Linked DNA regions of Canis lupus familiaris. The protein of the gene in region 3 purifies or fractionates together with the protein of the main gene of each other region. This does not show direct contact. Links are inferred from orthologs where the notes say so. Each region holds a gene or a part of one and is shown on either strand. Other genes may lie near its edges.

Region 1 (7,151 bases), on a different chromosome or scaffold from region 3:
TTAATTCTGGTTTATAGGGGAGAGAGATACCACTTTAACCAGATACTTCAGGTAACATTCAATGCAAATTTGTCTCTGATTTCTTGTAGGGTGACAGCAGTATCCGCTATTTTGAGATCACAGATGAATCCCCGTATGTCCACTACCTCAACACATTCAGCAGCAAGGAGCCTCAGAGAGGGATGGGCTACATGCCCAAGAGGGGACTTGATGTTAACAAATGCGAGATTGCCAGGTAAAGAATTGGTATCATAAAGTATTCAGATTGTTTGTGCCACATGTGTTACTCAAGAGTAGTACAACTACCAGTCATGCCATAGTGCCAGTCTATCTACCCTTTGTTGTCCTGTAGAATTGGTATCTCGTTTCCTGCTCACACTTAGGAACGTGGAGTTTTAGAGTAGTGAAGAGCCTTTCAAAATCCTGTAATTGAATTGTGCCCCTCCTCATTCTTTGGACTACATAACCTGTGGTGCAGTGGCTTAGCCAAGGCAGATTTTGTACACTTAAATAGTGAAGCCTTCATCTCTTGTCTTCAGGCTGAGTCTGTGGCCAGTGTCCTCTGGGAGGCAAGCAGGGAGAGCCTGCTGCTGAGATGGACAGAAGAGATGGTTTTCCTGCCCTGAGGGAGACGAACAGGTTCCAAACTGGATTGTAGACCTCATGGATCTTAAACTAGAGAAGCCAAAGACCAATAGCTGGGTTGTTGGGTTAGCTTGATGTAGGAAGTTCAGCTGTGTTATATAATACATAAAATATACTACTGTGGTTTAAAAAAAAATTTGTATTGCATAATGCCTAGTGGTCTTCCTAAACAATAGGCTGTTTTCTCCTCGTGGTCGACAAAAGATAGTCCATGAGATGCATGGATAACTGGCCGTTTTAAACAACAGAATGACTAGTGCTGCACCATCAGGCCTGTGGTCCTACCACACATTTGTACAGTACTGCGTTTCTTTTTTAAATTTTAATTTATTTATTTTAGATAGAGCATGCACAGGGGGAGGGGCAGAGAGAGAGGGGAAAGAGAGAGATCTCAAGTAGACTCCCCGCTGAGCACAGAGCCAGACACAGGGCTCGATCTCACAACCCTGACCTCATGTATGACCTGAGCCAAAATCAAGAGTCGGACACTAGTAACTGACTGAGCCTTGCAGGCACCCCACAACACTACATACGTATCTGCCTAACTATGCTGTCCTGATCACACAATAATGAACACATCTTTAAAAATAATTTTTTAGAAGCCCCTTTTTATATTATTAGAAGTTTCTCTTAAAAATACATTTCTCTACACCTGGAGTGCAAAGGAAAGCTGTCAGAGATAAGTCAAAAGTATGGTTTAAACTAGTCTCATCAAAACATGGTTCAAAACTGATCAAATCCTAACTTAAGGTTGCCTCCAGTATTTGGAAAAGCATTAATTTTACTGTCATCTAAAAGTTTAAAAGACTACAAGCATAACCATTCAGGATACCTCCTACTTACTGTTTATTGAGCACTCGTTATATGCTGGATGCTATGCTAAATGTGCTGCCACACACTCGGGCACTGTAGCACTTGAGCTGGGTGTCAACCCAGGCCGGTCTTCGTTATTGCTCTGCTGACTGCAGAGGTGCCCAGTCTTATCCACATTTTGGGTAATTTCAAATTTTTCTTGAATGTTAGACGTGATGTGGTTTGCTTGAATGCCAAAGTTTTAATCTCAGGATTCTTTTCTTTTCCCTTTTAAAAATCCCATTTATGCTGACAAATGTTCAGCCACCTCTAGTTGGCAGAAGACCTGGCATTCCAGGTCCTAGATTCTGTCTAATATTAGGTGTTTGTTTTCACCTGCCTGCTGACTTGGTCACTTTTGCAGAAGTGAATCATCGTCGGTAGTGGTGTTTCTTCCCCCATGGCTGGTCAGCCCCCAGATTACCAGAGTTGGGCCGTCCCCAGAAGCAAAGACTTCTGCTCCTGGTTCTTGTTTCCAGTCCCCCATTGCCTCGCATTTCTCCTCTGGAAAATGGGAGCACACACTGCACCTGCTCCCCAGAGTAGATCAGCTCAGGTGATAGGCAGAGCGTTTCATGCCCCAGACAGCAGTGTAGAAGACTAGCCGTCAGTCATGAAGCCTGTTAACCTGGCCTCCTGTTTCACTTAATACAACTTTGTTATTATTTCTATTTCTCCCTTGAAGATTCTTCAAACTTCATGAGAGAAAGTGTGAGCCTATTATCATGACTGTTCCCAGGAAGGTAAGTGCCCAGTTTCCTGGGCAATCCACGATTAAAAAGATTCTTAAAATTTCAGGCTTGTCATCTTTAAGCGTTTTCCCAAATGTCTCTTATAGTCCGACCTTTTCCAAGATGACCTGTATCCTGACACAGCGGGGCCTGAAGCAGCGCTGGAGGCAGAGGAGTGGTTTGAGGGGAAAAATGCAGACCCGGTCCTCATCTCCTTAAAGCATGGATACATCCCTGGCAAAAACAGGGATCTCAAGGTGGTCAAGAAGAACATTCTGGATAGCAAGCCCACTGCAAATAAGAAGTGCGACCTGATCAGTGCCCCCAAGAAAACTCCAGACACGGCCAGTGTGGTGAGGACTGCAAGAGGTGGAGGGGTGTGCTTGGTTGTGGCTCAGGGCTTTTAGTAAACGAGGACACATACTATTTGTAAGAACCTTCTTGGTTACATGACATTTATGAGCTCGTGGCCACTTTGGCTCCTTTAGCTGCATTTTTTATAATGACCAGGATAGAAATCTGTCTGCTACCATTTTTGAGAGAGTATACAGGAGCTGCTTGGGTGTTTTCTTAGCGGTCTCTCCCCACCCAGAGTGTTTACATTCATCTCTGATTGGGGTAGAAATGAACCTGGAAAGAAAGGGCCCAAGGAAAGGGAAAGAGTAGTGACAGGGTTCAGGTGTTGCTGAATGTTCCAGAGACAAAATATCTGGCGGTGAGTGGGACTTAGCAGCAAAGATGATCTTGGGCCTATTGGCAAGAACCATGTCATTGGAGTGGTGGGAACCAAAACCTGATGTTGGAGACCCACATGGCCGCTGAGGGTGCTGCTGCTGGGAGAGCGGAGTCCAGCCAGGGAGGAGAGGGCATGGGGAGTTGGCAGGAGTAGAACAGGATCCCAGGGAGCCAGAGGGAAGGCAGAGAGTTGTCAGTGAGAGGGTGAGTGGAATGAAGAGGCAAGGTGCCTGGAAGAGCTGGTGTTTTGGCCATGACTGAGGTAGCCACATGAGGTGCTGTGGATTGCAAGGTTTCCAAAAGAATCAGCTCCACATGTGGCAGAGGCTGAGCCCTCTTCAGAAGAGTGAGCAAGCATGGCAAGGGGGTTGGCTCCTAAGAAGGACCCTCCATGGGAGATGATAGGAGCTCTGTAGCCTCTGGAAGTTCACTCCTGACCTGGGTCACATAAAAGTTACTCCTGATGGTATTGCATGGGGTGGCTGGGCTGTGGGGCAGCCCTGAAGGGATCGGTCCTATCCCACAGTTTGACTTGTTCTGAGTCTCAGTCCAGGTAAGTGCAGAGGCACATGGAATGGGGAGTACTGGGACCCTGGTTCTACTGTGGGGTGGCAGGTGGACTGACCAGCATGCAGTTCCTTTCTCAGAAGGCCCAACTTGGTGGCTATGGCTTGCATTTCCAAAGTAGAAAATTAGATTGTATGCCTTATAAATTCTCAACTTTGGTAAGCTTCGTTTACTGCATTTTAGTCAACCTCTTTCCTCTCCCTCCTCCTTTTTGGTTTCCTTAGCAAAATGAAGCCAAGTTGGATGAGATTTTAAAAGAGATCAAATCTATAAAAGACACAATCTGCAATCAAGACGAACGCATTTCCAAGTTAGAACAGCAGATGGCGAAGATTGCAGCCTGAAGGTCCATCCCCCACCCCCAAAATGGGAGCAGGAACTTGTGCTTGGTAGCTGGTTGTTGGCGTGGTCCCAGGGAGGGCGAAAGGGAGGCACTGCCATTCGGAGACATTCCGGGTCACATTTGTCAACCAGCGATAGGCCACATTCCAGTAAGAACTCAATTCGTCTCCCAAATTTGCAGAAACATAATGTGATTTAAAAGCCGAGCTTTTTATCAGAAAGCTTTTTTGATGTTTTAAGTGTTATGTGACTTGTCGAACTTTTAAAAGACAAAAGTGCTACTTTTAAAATCCCAGATATTCTGAATTTTAGAAAACCAACCAATTCTGATTCAGTGTCGTGCCCAAGTACCTTTTTTTTTTTATAAACAGGGACCAATGCCACATTGCTTTTTATATTTCTTTTTTTTAATGTTGCCAAAACCAAAAGTAGCTTTTTTCCCCCCTTGTATTTTGCTACTTTGCAGTATTTGTGTGTGGTTTTTTTTTTTTTTTCTTAATTTGAAAGGGACAGCACTGTGTATGTTTATAAACTAAATGAAGATAAGATATTATTTTGTATACACGTTCATCTGAGAACAATCAGAGCAGTAGCCACATGGTGCTGGCTCGTTTGCAGCACAAACCTGGTCATCCTCATGACTGTACAGAAGGAAGACTTGAAAAATCACGTGGGTTCGATCACCACCCTCTCCTTTCATGGAGTCTTCTGATCAAAAAAGCTCCTATTGTATTGTTTTCTTTCTTTCTCTTTTCTAGAAACTGGGTGGTTGTACCAGATGGAATTTCACTTCTTGGTTATCCTGTGCTTCAGATGATTATAATCTAACCTAAACTAGCATGTGTTTCTGCAGTTTTGTTATACACATAGAATCTATTGCATTGATCACTTTAAACATCATGTTTCAGGTTTCGGTCAATACTTGATAAGGGCCCAGGACAAGAAGCCACAGAAGCCACTGTGGAGTGTTCCTTCTTGCCCATTTCAGCAGCTTGCCTAGCTCTTCAGTACAGTAGGAGACTAAGACCTAGGGAAGCTGGAGGGGAGTGTGTGCCCCCACGTGATCCTCTGCTCTTCCGAACATCCCATGCTGTCTCTGTGCCATGCTGCCTGCAGCATGGCTCTCCCTGTGCCACCAGAGCCCCTGCCCTCCCCTCAGTCTCCCAGATGCAGCCATCTCTCTCAGGGCTCCCCCAGCCAGTCCTTCTGTCCTTCCTGCCTCTCAGCCCTCTCCACGTTCAGCTAAGAGGAGGCCAGAGGGTGCTATTTAATATTGAGACTGAGGAGAACGGTCTAGAATTATGCAAAACCAGGAGCACAGGCCTCTGCTGTAGCTTTAATGTGTACAAACCTGTCCCTTTGCCCCCTCTACCATACCAACATGCTTTGCACCTCCAGCTCCCACAGAGGCTCCCCAGACTCAGGGGCCAGGGACTGAGCTCTGAATACCTATTCCATTACCAAGTTAGCTTCTCTCCCATTTCCATGTTTTCATTTTGCACGCTTGAGGAGCAAGATTTAAGGAATCTCGGGGAAGAGCTGAGTGAGTGTGGTTGAACATGGAACAGATGGTGCCAGTGGGCCCCCCTGGGGGCTCTTGGCGCCTATTCCTGCTGATGTGGAAGGGAACTGGCAGGGAATGTCTATAACCGGGAATCAGGATGGAGATGGAGTGTGGTGACAGCGGGTTGGAATCTACGGCCAAGCTGGGGCTGATGTCTTTGTAGGAAAGGTACCATGTTTTTTCCCAATATTGGGATCTCTGTCTCCACAACTTCCGGGCATCTGAGTGTTTGGTGTGTGTGTGTGTGTGTGTGTGTGTGTGTAATATTGGAGTGGATAATGAAATATAAGGAAAACAATAATCACAATGACTTATATTCAAATCTGTACATGTTTCTTTATCAACGTAATCTGCTGAAGACCTTCCTTTTTAAGATTCAGAAATGTTTTAAGATTCTGATATCAAATTAAGTAAACAAAATTGTTGGTGGTGGAACACCATAGGAAATGTGGTTCAAAGAGAAGACGGAGGGCAAGGAGAAATTATCCTGATCTTAGTGCGTAGCTTATGACTTATTTAATGAACAGGTGCCCAGCCAGGCTCAAAGTCAGCGCCTGAAGTTTGTGGATTATCCTTCCTGTTTTGTCTTTCTTTCTTTTCTTCTTCTTTTCTTTCTTTTTAAAGCCGTGCTATCCCAGAGGAAAACCAGTGAATTACTCCTAGATCGGCTCTTATAGAGCGGCCATAGTATTCTGTCAAAACACTTGCTTCCATTTTCAAAGATAAAAAAATCATTGATTACAAAATGGTGTCCGTGTTTATTTCACACCTCAGCTGTCTTTGAGGCAGCCCACAGCCTCTCTGATTCAGTGGAACCAGCTGCGCGACTGTTCCTCTCTCAGGGTGAGTACAGGGTGAGTGTGGGTAGGCCGCTGCCCTCCAGCACAGGGGGAGGTAGGGTAGGGTGTAGCAGGGTGAGGGCTACAGGCCAGACTCCAGTTAAGCCTCTAGCCTTTACCAGGGGTGGGATCTGGGGCAGATCTAATCTTGGGGCATCTCTTTCCCTGCTCTGAAGGAGGGATACGAATCCCATGTCATTTGGAAGAGAGATACCTGCGCCCAGTCGTACTGAGAGCCCTTGCCACTACCGCATGGCTGGCATTGTTATTGTGACTGCTGAGTCTCTGACTGTGCTTTCGAAAGCACTGTTTTCTTCAGTACAAGTACAGCCTTCTCAGCTTAGCTGTGATTTTTATTCCAACAGAGGGTTTTCAGGGTCAGTTGAACTTCATGGCCCTTTTAGCTTCCCCTTTTATACCAAAATACCATCTCATGACATTTCAGTGATTTGTAGCAAAGAATTCCCCACCATTTGGTTTTTCTAAAGGTTTGTAGACATGATGAATAATTGGCACAAAACTCCCCCTCCTCAAATGTAGTCTCCTAAAGTTGCTGTAGTCAGTGAGGAGAAAGGCAGCCGGGTTTGTGGTCAGCCTCTGTGTGGCTGCAGGAAGTTGAGCAGCAGATACTGTCTGTGCCCCTCTGTGCCCACAGTCAGGGGGCAGACGCATGTGTGAAGTGTTGACAACTGACTCTCTCTTCCGCTGCCTTGTGTCCATGCCAGAAAACCCACAGGTCACCGTGTCAGCCCCAGACGGCCAGCCAGGCCCAGTGGAGGGAGACTTCTGTTTTTTTTTAAAGGCTACTTCCTTTGGTGCTCTTGGTGTCCAGAAAAACTTATTGTTGGCTCTTAAGAATCTGTCAACTCTCAGTGA
Region 2 (7,835 bases), on a different chromosome or scaffold from region 3:
AGTGTTGCAGGGGGAACTAATGCCCGGAGAGGGGCAATCACTTGCCCAAGTTCACATTCTCTGAACCGGGAGCCAAGGCCAGAACTCAGATGACCGGCCTTTACTTTTTTTTTTTTTTTTTTTGGAAAAATCTCGGTTCTTCTCAATCTCGGGAGGTTGCCGAAGCTTTTTTTTTTTTTTTTTTTTTTTTTTTACTCTCATTCGGGATATACTTATTGAACATTTACGTGTGTAGCTAGATTACTTTGCGAGGCCAGAAAGGGATTCCAAAGAAATAAAAGGCAGCTTTCGTTGCATCCCGAGAGCTTACAGTTTAGGGGAGTAACAGTTCATAAATGCTGTTCGAGGTGTAGAGAAACGGGAGGGAAATAGCGCTGCTTCCTCAAGAGAAAGGTGGACTTCTTTTGGGATTTGAAGGCTGGTTTTGATTAGGGAAGGAAAGGAGGAGCCAGAGGCCTGGGGAATATAACAGGAACAAGGATTCTTGTCGTGGTTGGGAGGCCGGAAATCTGCAGTTTTCCGGTCTCTTGCTATCCTGAGTAATACTAAGTCTTTGGGGGAAGGATATATAACAAGAAGGCTCACGTTACAACCTTCTTGGGAAAAGGTGTAGCATTATCAAATGAAGATATGCAGCAGTTCCCATTCTAGAGAAGGAAGTGCATATGCATATGTTTCTAGAGACTTGCGTAAGAATGCTCATACCAGCATTATTTGTAGTCACAAACGGGAGAAGTGTGATAGGATCATAGAATGGAACACCATGAATGAGTAATGAAAGTGAATTAATTAAAGCGGTGGCTCTCAACAGGGTGAGGTTTTTGGTTTTGTTTGCCTCCGAAAGGATGTTTGACACTATCTGTAGACATTTTTAGTTGTCACAACTGGGGATACTACTGATACCTACTAGGTAGAGGCATTATACTGTACATTTTTGTTGCATATACTTCACTGTGTTCTGATTCATAAAAAGTTTAAAAATAAATTTTTATGAATTCAATAACGAACACTGCACTTTTCAGAGACCACACAAGGGAGGTGTTTATAGGGAAGAGTATTAAAGAGATTAGGTTGGATTCTTAATAATTGAGCTAACCAAAAGACTTAAAAATTGTATTAAGAAGTTAGATTCTGGGCAGCTCCGGTGGCCCAGCAGTTTAGCGCCGCCTTCAGCCCAGTGCATGATCCTGGAGACCCGGATCCAGTCCTACGTCAGGCTCCCTGCATGGAGCCTGCTTCTCCCTCTGCCTGTGTCTCTGCCTCTCTCTCTCTGTGTCTCTCATGAATAAATAAATAAAATCTTAAAAAAAAAAAAAAGTTAGATTCTACACTTTAGGCATTGGGCATCCATCAGAAAAAAATGAATAGAGAAATAATTCTGAAATATTTTAGGGGAATGAATCTTACGACTGTATGTTGAGGTTATGGTGGGGGGAGGGAATGTAAAAGGGAGAGCCCTACAGAGTATTTGGGGAGCCATGGCAACAGTAGTGTAGGCATGAGATAATGAAGACTTCATTTCAAGGAAAGAATTAATAGAACTCAACCCATTTAATGGCGGGAGGAACTATAGATGATCTTAGAGTTTTCAATCTAGGCAATTGGGAAATTGGAAATACCATTACAGAAATTGGAGGCATATGGGAGAGAGAACCAAAATTGGGGTTCACATGGTCAGATTGTTTGTATCACGTATCATCCAAGATTGAGAATGTAACATCCAAGGAGTCAAGTGAAAATACAGGATTGCAGTTTAGGTGTGAGATTCAGATGAGTTAGCCAAATAAAAGTGTCAAAATAGAAAGGATTTGTTTTCTTAGGAAAAGAATGTGGAGAATCAAGGAGAATCAAGGGCTGAGCTTCAAGGAATAATTTAGAAAGTGAAAATAAAGTAGAAGAAGAATAGAGAAAAGGTTTGAGGTGATTGAGAAACCAGAAAAGTACCTTTCTTTTCTTTTCTTTTTTGAAAAATGCCTTTCATAAGCACTTTTTTTCTGACTATTCTGTTCTGGAATAATTAAAGGGCTGTCATGAGGACGAATTAAAATTTTATTTGGAATTTCAGAAGGCAGATTTAGAAATCTTGAGTGGGTGGATGTTATTGGGTTGTAGGCTTTGAGTCAGAACAAAGAACTTTATAACAGATGCGCAAAAGTGGAATGGGCGACTCTTGGAGGAATTGGACTCTCTTCCTGTTCAGGAGAGATTGACCAATTGAAATCACAGAGGACCAACTCTAGGAGTTTTTGAAGTCTTGCGATATTTCTGAGAGCAGTAAGAGCAGAAACTACTTTGAGCTTAGCAAAGGAAAGGACAATAAGATGATGGTAGCAAGTATAGTGTACTCATCCAAAAAATTGGCAGAGAAAAATAATGGATTAGCATCTCAAGAAGTATTTAATTTTTTTTTAATTTTTATTTATTTGTGATAGTCACAGAGAGAGAGAGAGGGAGAGGCAGAGACACAGGCAGAGGGAGAAGCAGGCTCCATGCACCGGGAGCCCGACGTGGGACTCGATCCCGGGTCTCCAGGATCGCGCCCTGGGCGAAAGGCAGGCGCCAAACCGCTGCACCACCCGGGGATCCCTCAAGAAGTATTAAGTGTGGGGCAGCCCAGGTGTGGCAGCCCCGGTAGCTCAGCAGTTTAGCGCCGCCTGCAGCCCAGGGTGTGGTCCTGGAGACCCTGGATCAAGTCCCATGTTGGGCTCCCTACATGGAGCCTGCTTCTCCCTCTGCCTGTGTCTCTGCCTCTCTCTCTGTGTGTCTCTCATGAATAAATAAATAAAATCTTTTTTTAAAAAATATTAAGTGTGGAATGAATAGATAGTAAATATTTATCTTTGGTTTCATAAAATTTTCTGGAGACTTGTGGTAGATATTTTTCACAGATGAGAGATACTAGTCTTAGAAGACACAAATAGTGAAAGAAAAGGTTTGACAAATTGGACTTCATAAAAATCAAAACTCTTCAAAAGACATCATTTTAAAAAGGGCACACCAATAACAGGGAGAAAATATTTGTAATACAAATCTGACAGAAGACTTGTCTCTAAGATATATATAGGGGATCCCTGGGTGGCGCAGCGGTTTGGCGCCTGCCTTTGGCCCAGGGCGCGATCCTGGAGACCTGGTATCGAATCCTACGTCGGGCTCCCGGTGCATGAAGCCTGCTTCTCCCTCTGCCTGTGTCTCTGCCTCTCTCTCTCTGTGTGTGTGTGACTATCATAAATAAATAAAAATTAAAAAAAAATAAGATATATATAGAACTCTTACAACTCAGTAACTCTTAAAACTAGATAAGATAAACAATCTAACTATCAAAAAATGGGCAAAAGATTTGAATAGACTCTCCACTAAAGAAGGTACATTGTAAGGCACAATGAAAAGATGTTTAACGTTATTAGTCATGAGGGAAATGCAAATTAAAAACTATTGTGATATACCCCGTGATCAGGAGGGCTAAAATAAAAGATACAGTACCTCAGGTTGGTGAGGATATGGAGGAACTAGAACTCATGCAGTGCTGATGGGAATAGAAAATGGAAAACTTTGGAAAATTAATGAGCAGTTATAGAGTTTGCATAGATCATATTTTTACCATCTGACTCAGCAATTCCACTTCTAGATATTTACTCAAGAGAAGGGCATATATCTACACAAGACTTACTGAGTCTTTGTAGCTACCTTATTCATAATAACTTCAAGCTGAAAAGGACCCAAGTCTATCAACAGATGAATCCATTCAATGGAATACTATTTGGCAATAAAAAGCAATGAGCTTCTAGTACAACATAGATGATTAACATGGACATTATTTTGAACAAAAGAAATGGGATGCAGAATAGTGTACTGCATGGTTCTATTTATATAAAATTTTATAGCAAGCAAAACTAGTATCTAGAGATAGGAATCAGATCAAAGAATGCTTGAAGTGAGATAGGGATTGGAGGTAGATTGCAAAGCCTGAAGGATCTCCTGGGAAGATAGAAATTTTTATATCTTGATTGGTGTAGTGGTTACATTGATACATATATCTGTTAAAAGTCATTCACCTATACCCTTACAGTATATGGATTTTATTATATAGAAGCTATACTTCAGTGAAGTTTATTTTTTAAAAAATCAAAGTACCTTTTCTTAATAGTTGGAAATTTGAACTTTAACCCCAAGGCCATTTTTCCCCTTTAGCAGTTAAATTGATGTGCCTGTGATTTAGTATCTCCCAACTATATAGTTAGATTGATTTCCTCGCTTCCACCCACTCCCACCCTAACAGTTAATCTCTTCCTTAATACATAGCATCAAGGAGCCACTCCAAAGGGAGAGGTTGACTGTGGTGCTGGGAATCCAGGAAGGCTACACTATGGCATCACTTAAAGCTGGTTTTCTTGCTAGTTCATAAGCACCTAGAAGGAGGAAAGATGTGACTCATCCCCTAATCCTTCACTGTACTTTTGCACAGTATCAAGCACATAGCTGCATTGGAGAAGTGTTGATTTGACTGGTTTTTAGTCACATTAATTATTAAAGAATACTTTATGTATGGGTCAGAAATGAGGTTGAATTAGAGTATTTATAAAATTACTTCCTGAGCAATTAGTAAGCCTTTAGCAAAGACCTCCCTTGAGCTAGGAGCATAAGTTATTTACAGTTTCTTAGTGATGAAGCAAATCCCTTTCTTTTGAACACTGTGGTGTCAGTCTGATGAATTGCAGAGCTTATCTTCTCTGCCTGAATCACACATACCCTTAAGGACAGGCATCTGTAGAGATGAGGGTTTATTCTTTGCTTATTTTGTATTATTTTTTAAGGCATAAAAAAAAATGCAATTTCAACTATCAACTGACCATCACATTGTATAAGATCATTTTTATCATTAGTTCAGTGCTTCTATTTTTTTAAAAAATATTTTATTTATTCATGAGAGAGAGAGGCAAAGACAGGCAGAGGAAGAAGCAGGTTTCATGCAGGGAGCCTGACATGGGACTCGATCCTAGGTCTCTAGGATCACGCCCTGGGCTGAAGGTGGCGCTAAACCGCTGAGCCACCCGGGCTGCCCCAGTGCTTCCATTTTGATTGTATTTTAATTCTAGTTTTATGCTATGCCTCATTTAATATTGTTGGCTATTAGATTCTTCTGATTTTTCCTCTTCACATTTTATATTATTAAAGCTTTATTAAGTTTCTAAATATCCATTTGCATTTAGTCCTCTCAAACACAGTTGCAATCCTCAGAGACTTACTGCTTAACACTGCTTCAGTTTTAGTTGCCATAAATAGCACTTCTAGAGGAAAGCTAGTAATTTAAAAAATCACTTAGTACAGACTTCAAGCAAGTAAATTCTGGCCATGGTTTTTTGGGGGTGGTTTTTTGCCTTTAGAAATTTTTAGTCTATTAATTATTTTCACCACGGATTTTGAAATAGAAGAAAATTAAATTCCTATTTTTAATATCTTAGGGTAACATCTGCCTGGAGAATGGCTCTTTCTTGCTGAACTTTACAGGCTGTGCAGTGTGCAGTAAGCGGGATTTTATGCTGATCACAAACAAATCTTTGAAAGAGGAAGATGGTGAAGAAATAGTTACCTATGATCGTAAGTAGAGTTTTTATTTTCATGCAAATCTGGTGGCAGAGACCTGCTCTAGAAAGCTGATATGTTGTGCCTACTGATACGTTGTATTTTATGAGGCCTGTTTCTATATTGTATTGCAACAGAGTTGCTAGTTCAGTTTTTAAGAGGAAGATAAATATGATGCTAGTAAATATGATGCTAGCTAGCATCATCAGATTCTGCCTAAGTGACTTTTGCAGATGACTGAAGCTTATGATTCAGGTACCATTTTTTGTTTATTTATTATTATTATTTTTTTTTTTAAGATTTTATTTCTTGGGATCCCTGGGTGGCGCAGCGGTTTAGTGCCTGCCTTTGGCCCAGGGCGCGATCCTGGAGACCCAGGATCGAATCCCACGTCGGGCTCCCAGTGCATGGAGCCTGCTTCTCCCTCTGCCTGTGTCTCTGCCTCTCTCTCTCTCTCTCACTGTGTGCCTATCATAAATAAAATAAAAATTAAAAAAAAAAGATTTTATTTCTTTATTCATGAGGGACAGAGAGAGGCAGAGACAGGCTGAGAGAGAAGCAGGCTGGGTTCAGGGAGCCTGATGCAGAACTTGATCCCAGGACTCCAGGATCACACCCTGGCCCGAAGGCAGACACACAACCACTGAGCTACCCAGGCATCCCGTTTGTTTGTTTATTCTAAAGTCTTTATGCCTTCTGAAACAAGACGGAGACTTTTTTTTTAACCCTATGGTCATTCATGTGAGTTTTCTTTTTTTTACTATAGTCTAATACAGTGATGTCCTCCAACAGCTACTAAAATGTTTAGGGCTATTTGCTGCCATACAGAATGACCCTGGGATGTTACGGTTTTTTAGTCTTGTTTCTGCTCTCAGCTTTTTTTTGTCTTCTTTCTCATTATCTTTCTGTGCTACCTTCATATGCTGTTCCTCATCCTCTATGCTGAGGAACCAAATAAATAAGCTCTGTATCATAAAAATGAATCAGATCTGAGGTTGGCACTCTAAGAATTTTTGTGAGTAAATTAAGTGTGTGTACATTTTAGCAAGTAGGTATGGTGATGATAATTTAAACTGTTTATATCCTCTTTTTGCTTGTCACCTGGTTCTTCAGTATGTTCTGAATATATGAGGAATAAATGTGCAAATAATGATATTTTGTAAAAAAGATATGAGAGACACTAAGCCTTTAGTCATTGAAAATGTTCTAAATATTCTAAGTGTTCTAAAGTAGAACAGTCTTTTTCTTTATTTCAGGAATAACCCTTTCAACTCTATTTTAAAGAGGTAGTAGGACACAGTGGTTAAGAGCAAGGGCTCTGGAGCCAGAATGCATGGGTTTGAATTCTGTTTCCCACACTTCTAGCTCAGTAGTCTTGCTAATTGCTTAACTGTGGTGTGCCTTTGTTTCTTTATCCTTAAAAAGGTGATAACAATAGGATCTACCTCTTTGGGTTTTGAGAAGATTAAGTAAGTAAACAGATAAAAAGTACTTAGAACTATATCTGGCACACATTAGGCACTCAATAAATCATATTTTTTTTAAAAATCCTATTTATGATCATATTTTTAAGGAGTCTTATTATTAAATTCATTTTAATGTCTAGCATTGGCTTTTTATGATTGTTTTTTGTAGTACAGTTTCTAGAAGTCCTGAGAATGGGAATTAGTATATGCCTGTTAAATCTCTGAGTTGAGGCCATTCGTTATGTAGTGTTGCTATGTGATGGATTTTGGGTTTCTTATCAAGGTAGATATTAGAATGGGTTTCCTGCTGCTGTGTTAAATATATCAGTTTTTCTTATAAAGCAATACCTTACTGAAAATAGAAATTTTACTGCCTTAAGAGACCTTCCGACACTTAATTATTTAAATCTCTCTCTGTTTTGGCAGATCTGTGTAAGAATTGTCATCACATAATAGCCAGGCATGAGTACACATTCAGTATCATGGATGAATTTCAGGTAAATGTATATATATGGTATATTATTGTGGGGAGGGATAATAAATGTACTTTTGTAAATATAAATATAGTTTTAATAAGTGGAGTACTAGTAAATATTAAAGGAGACCATCCTTCTCTTCTAATTGTGTATGTTAGGAGAGACACTTTAGATGTACATTGATCTGTTCCAAGCTGTCTTCATAAGAGTCACAAATCAAAATGCATGATATCTCAAGCCTGTCATTTTTGTTTTTAAAGAATAGCACATTGTGGGCTCTTATGAGGTTACAATTGTGCTTGTTTTTTTCTCT
Region 3 (7,587 bases):
TTAAGTATTTTGCTTATTTGTCTATTTTTGAGTTACACATAGAGTTTAAAATTCGTCTCAGGTGATTATTTCTTGAACTGCTTCTGGGTGCCAAACACTTGTCAGGTGCCCAAACAAGCAAAACAGTAGTAAATAGAAACCAGATCCCCACTCGGATTCTGCGAATGTGTCCGTAGTAAAAGGCACGGTGAAGAAAAGTGAAGTAAGGTCAGGGGCTAGAAAGCTGTAGTGAGTGGTGGTACACATCTTTCTATAGTGTGGTCAGGGCCGGGCTCTGAGGGATTGGTTCTGAGCAGAGACCTGAATAGAGTGAGCAGTGAGCCTCGTAACCCTCAGTGCAAAGACTCTTCCAGGCAGGAACGGCAAGGGCTGTTGGGAATGTGCAGGCATGGCCAGAAGGGAAGGAGTGAGCCCAAGGAGGCTTGGGAGTGAGCTCAGAAAGGTGGTTGGAGGCAAGGCTTGTTCAGCCACAGTGAAGGCTTTAGCTTCACTCCTAATGAGATAGAAAGCCTGGGAAGGATTTTGAGCAGGAAAGTGATAGGGTCTGACTTGTTTTAAAAAGGATCATTGCTGAGTCTGGTGTGGTTAGTAGATTGTTGCTGGAGGGAGGAAGAAAGATTGTAGAAGGCTGAGTTAGGCTCGGAGGGACGGGGGAGATGGTGGAAGTTTATGAAGTGGAGGAGGTATGGAATGGTTGTCTTGACGAGTAGAAGAGAGAAGACCTGTGTCATGGAGTTGCCGAGCTGCACTGAGGGGTTCAAGTGACAGAAGTGATGCAGTTAAACCAAGACGTTGAGTTTCTCACCTGTCGTATACAGTTGCTGGGGGCAGCTGTGAAGTGTAGTCGGTAGTTGGTGTTGGGCCACTTGAGTTTAAGAGGGAGAGAAGGACCAAGTCACTAAGGATAACACCAGGAAGTGGTGGAGAGAGCACACACGCATGCAAGGTTGAGGTATGTCTTTATGTGGTTACATAATCAAGAGTGACTACAGAGTGTAAAACTTGTCCCACTTGTCTTTAATTTTGGTTGCTGTGTTCAATTCTTCCAGCATCCCCGTGGTTTACTTGACCATATTTGGTTGTTTATTTTGAGAACATTTCATTTGAATTTGAGACAATATAAAGTGAGCTTTGCTTATAAGAAAAGAATTTCAATCTTACAGTTACATGGGACCCCTTCCTCTATGATTTAGAGGCATTAGACCTTGAAGAAACCGTAGAAGTCCTCTTACCCAAACTCTTGACATCTGGCTAAGTGATTTGCTCTGGTCGTCACCAGGAGATGGGAAAACCTGCCACAATCAGGACTCTGGTACTTGGGCTCTCAGTAGGCTGATTGTAGAAATCTCTTGGTCAAATCAAGACACTTTTGAGAGTGACGGGGGTGTTGTTAATAGTGTTGGGGCAACGGGTATAAATGAGGGCTGTTCTGAGCGCACTGGGATGGATGTGTGTGATCTCTTAGCTGTGAGCCTTGGGCAATATACAAAAAATGTCACTGTCTCAGATACCGAATCGTGCCGTCCTACTTATGTCACAGGACTTGTGAGAATTCAGCAGGAGAATATATGAAAAAATCATTTTCATAAAGCAGAAAGCTTTATGCACTTGTGACATATGATCTTGTTTTTCCCCTTTAGAAATTTAAGATCCGCATCGAAGACCCACCGCGCAGAAAGCATATGGTGTTCCTGGGTGGTGCAGTTCTAGCAGATATCATGAAAGACAAAGACAACTTCTGGATGACCCGACAAGAATATCAAGAAAAGGGTGTTCGTGTGCTGGAGAAACTTGGTGTGACTGTTCGATAAACTAACTCCAGAGCTTGTTCGCATCACACCCCTAAATGCTTTCTTTTTTCCTTTATTGCCAATCTTTGAACTCATTCAACTCCAGGACATGGAAGAGTCCTCTCTGTGCCCTTTGACTGGAAAGGTCAGGTTTTATTCTGGTGTCTTGGGGAAGCTTTGTTAAATTTTTGTTAATGTGGGTAAATCTGTTTAATTCAACCACTTCCCTACAAACACAACGAGAGGGCAAAGGGTCCTGTCTGCTGCTTTGTTTCTTCTAAGTAGGCATTTAGATCATTGCTGTCGGCTTCCTATTTTCACTTTACTGCTCTAATGCTGCTAGTTTTAGTCTTTAGCACACTAGGTGGTATGCCTTCATTAGCATAAGAAAAAACTTTACAGGAGCTTTTTACATATTATTGGGGTGGGGGTGGTAAGGCATGGGCGGGCAGCTGTTGACCCCTTTACAGCAATTCCTCTGTGGTGTGGTGCTTTCAACAGTTACTGCACAGTTGAAGTACCTTAAAGCTTCTGGAATTAACATTTTAGGGAAATGTTAGGCTCAGAATTAAAGTGTTTGGGGTGGGTTTTTTGCGTGGGGGCAGGGAGTGGTCTTTTGATTTTGACTTTTTGATTTTTGAGCTTTTCTGCTCTGAGATATCTAAGATGAAGTTTATTTGCAGTACTTTGATTTGGCAGGTTTTCTTCTACTTTTGGTCTGCCTGGAACTGTTTCCATGATATAAAAAGCAAGTGTAATATTCCATTACATTACCATGTGGCTTAGGGATTTATTTGTTTTGTTTTTAAATCAACCATATTAGCTGGGAGTAGACTCCCTAGAATCTATCAGTGAAAAATTAACAATTTAAAAATGCTCTTGGAAATTCAAATTACAGATTTAAAAAGTGCTTAAGAGTGCTTCTTTTTATACCAGAAGCATTAAGGTAATCCAGTGCCAAGTACCATTCTTGCAGTTACTCTTTTATATAACTGACCAGTGCTTATTTAATAAGAATAAGTAGATACATATAAATAATTACTGGCAGTAGGTTATAATTGTTGGGTTAAAAATAACATTAAAATATGGGACTTGTTGCCAGTTGGGTAATTTTCATTAGTTTTTTATTATTATTATTTTAATTTGAAACCTGAAAGTGGAGTAAAATTTGACTACTTAAAACATTGGCAAAAAAAAAAAAATCAAGATTTAAATTTGTATTTGTACTGAAAAAGTAATCATAACTAGTAAATCTCAGCCACCTTACACTTGAAAGAAGAGTTGTTGATATTTCTTAAATGTTAGCAGACTTTCCCGTCTGTCAGGAAAATCATATTTATGAATCCCGTCGGTATTGCTTTGTAACTGAAAAAACATCAAATAGTACTCAGACTTGAATTCTTTCTAAATTTGAAAAATAAAGTAATAAATTGTATCACGCTAAGGACAAGATGCAGATTCTGGGGAAAAAATGTTTTTCTTCATTTCAAAATATTCTTTACTAATAATGGCTTTGAGCAAAGAAGCTCAATTTTTAGGTGACTGAAATTAGAGAGGTTATTGGCTGTAGAGTCTTTTTTTGTGAGCAAACTTAAAAATCAATTTATATGAAATAAGCAAAAGCAGGTTAGTTTTAATTATGCAGCTTCTGTTAATATTAAGTATTTTTTGTCTTGTTTTACCTCAATTTGAAACAAGTAAAAGAAGTTTGCATGCTGGCCATGCTTCAGTACACATGAATAGCCTATGAATAACGTGTACCAGAGTGGAGGGACATGGATGTCAGTCATTTTGGAATTCTAAAGTGTTCCTAAATCATGTTCTTCTAAATCCCCCAGCCTTTGAGTCCTGGGCTAAAGGACACAAATGTAGGACAGTAGCTACCCAGCTGTTCATTTAAGGTAAATGGATTAACTCTTGGCCTTTGGTCATGATTTTAATATATGAGGGTAGAAAACAACAAGGACTAGGATGGACTCTTAGAACAATGAAAGATCATTTATCATTTGTCCCTAGAATATAGAATTTGGTTTTACTTTCATAATTCTGCTAGCAAACATGACAGTTAAAATGGTGTATTTATATATATAAATATATAGTATAATTTTAAAATTTCCATTTTCTAATTTTCCTATTCCAAGGCAAAATAATGCATTTAGTAATCTGGGGGGTAGTGGAAATACTATGTTTAATTGAAGTTGTCAGGTCGGGAGTCCCTCAGAAATTAAAATTTTTTTCTGTTTTAAAAAAGATCTGATGTTTAGCTCTTGGAAACCATTGTCACTTAAAATTCTTTTTAAATTGGAATTGCCAATGCCTTGACCTTTGAGAAGGGTTTCTTAGAAATAAGTCCTACATTTAAACTTTTTTCTTTAAAACATGGTATTGGATGTTGACTTTTTACACAGTTCTAAGCACTGTTGTTAATATCTGGAAAGCATTTTGAGAGATTAATGGACAGTAAACATTCTACATTTAACGTGAATACACTTCTTTTTGATTCAGAAAATAAAATCAGATTTTTGAAAGTAAATTTGAATTTTGTGTTCGTTTTGCCTATCATTTTTCTCTTTAGTTTCATTTTATTTTTATTTTTTAAAGATTTTATTTATTTATTCATGAGAGACACAGAGAGAGAGAGGCCGAGACACAGGCAGAGGGAGAAGCAGGCTCCATGCAGGGAGCCCAACGTGGGACTCGATCCCAGGTCTCCAGGATCACACCCCGGGTGGAAGGCAGCACTAAACTGCTGAGCCACCTGAGCTGCCCTCATTTTTATTCATATTTTCATTTTTGCTAATGCAAATTGGATTGACAACTTCACACTAGTTGTCAGGCGAGGTTCAGTTCCAGTTCCGTGTTGTTCTATTATTTGACGACAAAAAAATCCCTCTTTTTTTCCAGTATGATTTTAAATACGTAAGGAAAACAGAAACTGGAAACCAGAGGAAATTACAGCCACAGCTGTAATTTTTCCTTCAAGCGGACAGTTTTATTTCCTGCAAGACTTAGAGTGGCTGTTGCAGGATTAGGAACACCAGACAGACCTTCTATGTAACGTGCCCCTTTGTTCTACTGACCTCTCTCTCCTTGCTTTCCTACTTTGAGGATAGGCGCTGAGGAGTAGGTGATAGGATTTTCGTTTAGCCTTCTTCATGAACTTGTGTGCTTGAATCTCATCTCTCCCTTCATGGCCACGTTCCCCCAGGACTTCCTGGGGTTTGCCTCCGCGTCTTCCGCAGCCTCTTCCTGGTTGCCGGAATAACATGACCAACTGTGTCCATATGCCACAGAGGAAGAAGATACCGGGCGCTGCTCCTCGGTGATGGAACGAATGTTGCAGTGCTCTCCCATTTTCTCCCTTCACCCATAAACTTTGAGCACTGCACAGTTGAGTGTGGAAATGTGCTAATTGTAGAAGCATCAAAGAACGGTACCCAACAAAAGTGAACCAGAAGCTCACGGATTGATTTTAGCTCAATATTTAACACAAAATCATCTAATCTTGGACTAATCGACCCAACTACCCACAGTACCTGGGGTATGTGTAGGGTCCCTCTTTTCCTCCAGCTCAAATTCCTTGACCTATTAAAAGCTTGAATACTTTGGAAGGGCCAAATTACTGGCTTTAACCACTGTATTGCAAGTAATCTTAGCTATAGAGTAGAAAAACTTGCGTTGGGGTTGTAAATAAGGCAGCTGTTGTATACACTTACACCGGGTTTTCAAGTTAAACTTAAGGGAGAAAGAAGCTATTACACTATAGTTTTGTTTAAATCATCTTTACTATGGCAGTGACAATAATAATAATAATGCTTTGTACCTATTCTAAGTATTTCATTTTGTGTCGTGTGCAGATGTAAAAGCCCCATCGGGGTAGGGGGATCTAAATGATGACTGCCTTTGGCAGAACAGTTCCTGTCCTGTCTCCTCTGTCTCCCCTCAGTTCCTGCGCACCCAGAGGAGGAAAAAGACTGGAAAGGACTCTGCAAATATTTTCCCTTGAAAGAGAAGAATTAGTATTTTAACTAGGCTTGCGTGCACCAGCTGAAAGGTTTGGGTTTGGGTTTTGGCGAGTGCGGAACGCAAATAAAGAATAATAAAGTATGGTTTCTAAGCCCAAGGTGTAGACTAGAACACTGCCCTTGGCCGTCAGCATCAGGTTGAGCTTTTGCCTGATGAGTGCCTTTTCTTAATGGTAAAAAGGATACCCCACCGAGCCGCCTTGCTCTTCCTTGAATATGGGTTTGGAGAAGAGGGCTCAACCCTCAGGAATTAAAGAGTTCTATGCACTAAAAAAGTCATTGAAAAATTTTTGAATGCAAAGGTATGAATATCAGATAAAGGTGGACATTTTTAGCAGTTAGTTCAAGAAACTGAAGTCAAGACTTGCAACAATATTCAGTTGATCTTTTTGTGAAGTGGCTGCCTTCTTGTGTGCAGGGGTGGGGATTTTTTCTCCGGGTATATTATAAAATATGCATAAGAAATTCCAAGGCCTGTCTTATCTTAGGTAACCAAAATCTGAGGATTTCCTGAGTGAGGAATACTTCCATTAACTGCACTTAAACATTTTCAAGTCTCGTGCCAACTTGGTATTTGAAGAGTAAGAAATTTGGGTTTTAAGTGAGACTCCAATGTCAAAAATAAGTTGATAACATAGCATTTGACCCTTTGATTCGAAGCTTTCGGTCTCTCTCCACGTCTGTGTTTTCTTTCTTAGATCTAAAGCTTCTGACATTCAACTTTAAGAACTGTTGAAAGGAATGTAGGTTTGGAAACTAAAACCGTGATGACCAGGTGCGATTCAGAAGACTTCCATGATCAATGAAAAAGGCCATTTTGCTCATTTGTTTTGTTTTTACTTAGAGTTTTAGGTAGAATTTCATACATCAAGTATCCTATAGGAAATTAGGTAGGTGGAGCGTAATGAGCTAAATTTCCAAAACAGTCAAATTACTTGCCACTCAGTGTCACTCCTGATACGAAGTCAGAATCACACAGGATGTTTTAAAATGCAGGTTCCTGCCCTGACTCGACCTAAGGAGTTAGGGGCTGGGGGGCTGAGGGTTGGCCTGTTTTCTAGCTGTGCCGGGGACCCCGCCCCACCCTCAAAGCTCTCACTGCCCTGCTGGAGGGTCTTCACAGGGCAGGCAGCCCCAGAGAACGAGCCACGGCCCGGGAGCACACCGGTGCACCCTTGCCCTCACCCCTGACTCCCCGTGGAGCTCTTGGCAAACACGGTCAGGAGTGGGGTGGGAACAGGCCCTAGACACCACGTCTGGGCGGTGCTGGGTGGCCCCCCTGCTGGTTTCCACCCCGTCCCTCAAACAGATCCTCAGTCCTCAGTCCTGGGGGTGCTAACAGCCTTTACTCAAAATGCACATTCTTCTGGGGAGGTTAAAGCACCATTAGCCATTCACACGTGTGTGAATTTAAAGGAAGACCAGGGACTCAGCCGACACCTCAGGAAGATTATCAGCTCTTTGTGATTTAAGGCAAGGGAAGGTCTGTAAGTTTGGCCCAAGGCGCGCCTCGCAGAAACCAGACTCCGGGGAAGATGTGGACTTACTGGTTTATTGCTTTTTAGGGGCCGTAAACGTCCGGGGGAGCTGGGTGTGGGAGTCATGAAATAACCGGAGCAAACTGCGTATTTCAAGATTGTTTTTAGAGCTTTGTCCTCCCTCTGACTTGCGTGCTTCCCAGCTCCCGAGCTCCAGCTCGTACGGCGAGTGCTGCGATCCAGCCGTTTGACGGATTAAAATGATTTGTAGTCTGGCCAAGCAGCAACCCACCT

The links.
Region 1: the proteins of ACTR2 (region 3) and CORO1C fractionate together in Homo sapiens (co-fractionation; 3 studies listed by BioGRID and IntAct, with this or other methods). This does not show direct contact. The link is inferred for Canis lupus familiaris from reciprocal best matches to the Homo sapiens genes ACTR2 and CORO1C.
Region 2: the proteins of ACTR2 (region 3) and CHURC1 purify together in Homo sapiens (affinity purification with mass spectrometry; 4 studies listed by BioGRID and IntAct, with this or other methods). This does not show direct contact. The link is inferred for Canis lupus familiaris from reciprocal best matches to the Homo sapiens genes ACTR2 and CHURC1.

Annotation. Positions count from the first base shown.
Region 1 is NC_049247.1:18,585,923-18,593,073, forward strand, and holds the end of CORO1C (coronin-1C), read left to right. Parts: intron 1-89; coding exon 90-235; intron 236-2,182; coding exon 2,183-2,240; intron 2,241-2,335; coding exon 2,336-2,581; intron 2,582-3,754; coding exon 3,755-3,874; 3' UTR 3,875-4,710; downstream 4,711-7,151. UniProt on the Homo sapiens protein: Plays a role in directed cell migration by regulating the activation and subcellular location of RAC1. Increases the presence of activated RAC1 at the leading edge of migrating cells.
Region 2 is NC_049229.1:39,577,895-39,585,729, forward strand, and holds part of CHURC1 (protein Churchill), read left to right. Parts: intron 1-5,459; coding exon 5,460-5,595; intron 5,596-7,472; coding exon 7,473-7,543; intron 7,544-7,835. UniProt on the Homo sapiens protein: Transcriptional activator that mediates FGF signaling during neural development. Plays a role in the regulation of cell movement.
Region 3 is NC_049231.1:66,019,484-66,027,070, forward strand, and holds the end of ACTR2 (actin-related protein 2), read left to right. Parts: intron 1-1,640; coding exon 1,641-1,811; 3' UTR 1,812-4,329; downstream 4,330-7,587. UniProt on the Homo sapiens protein: ATP-binding component of the Arp2/3 complex, a multiprotein complex that mediates actin polymerization upon stimulation by nucleation-promoting factor (NPF).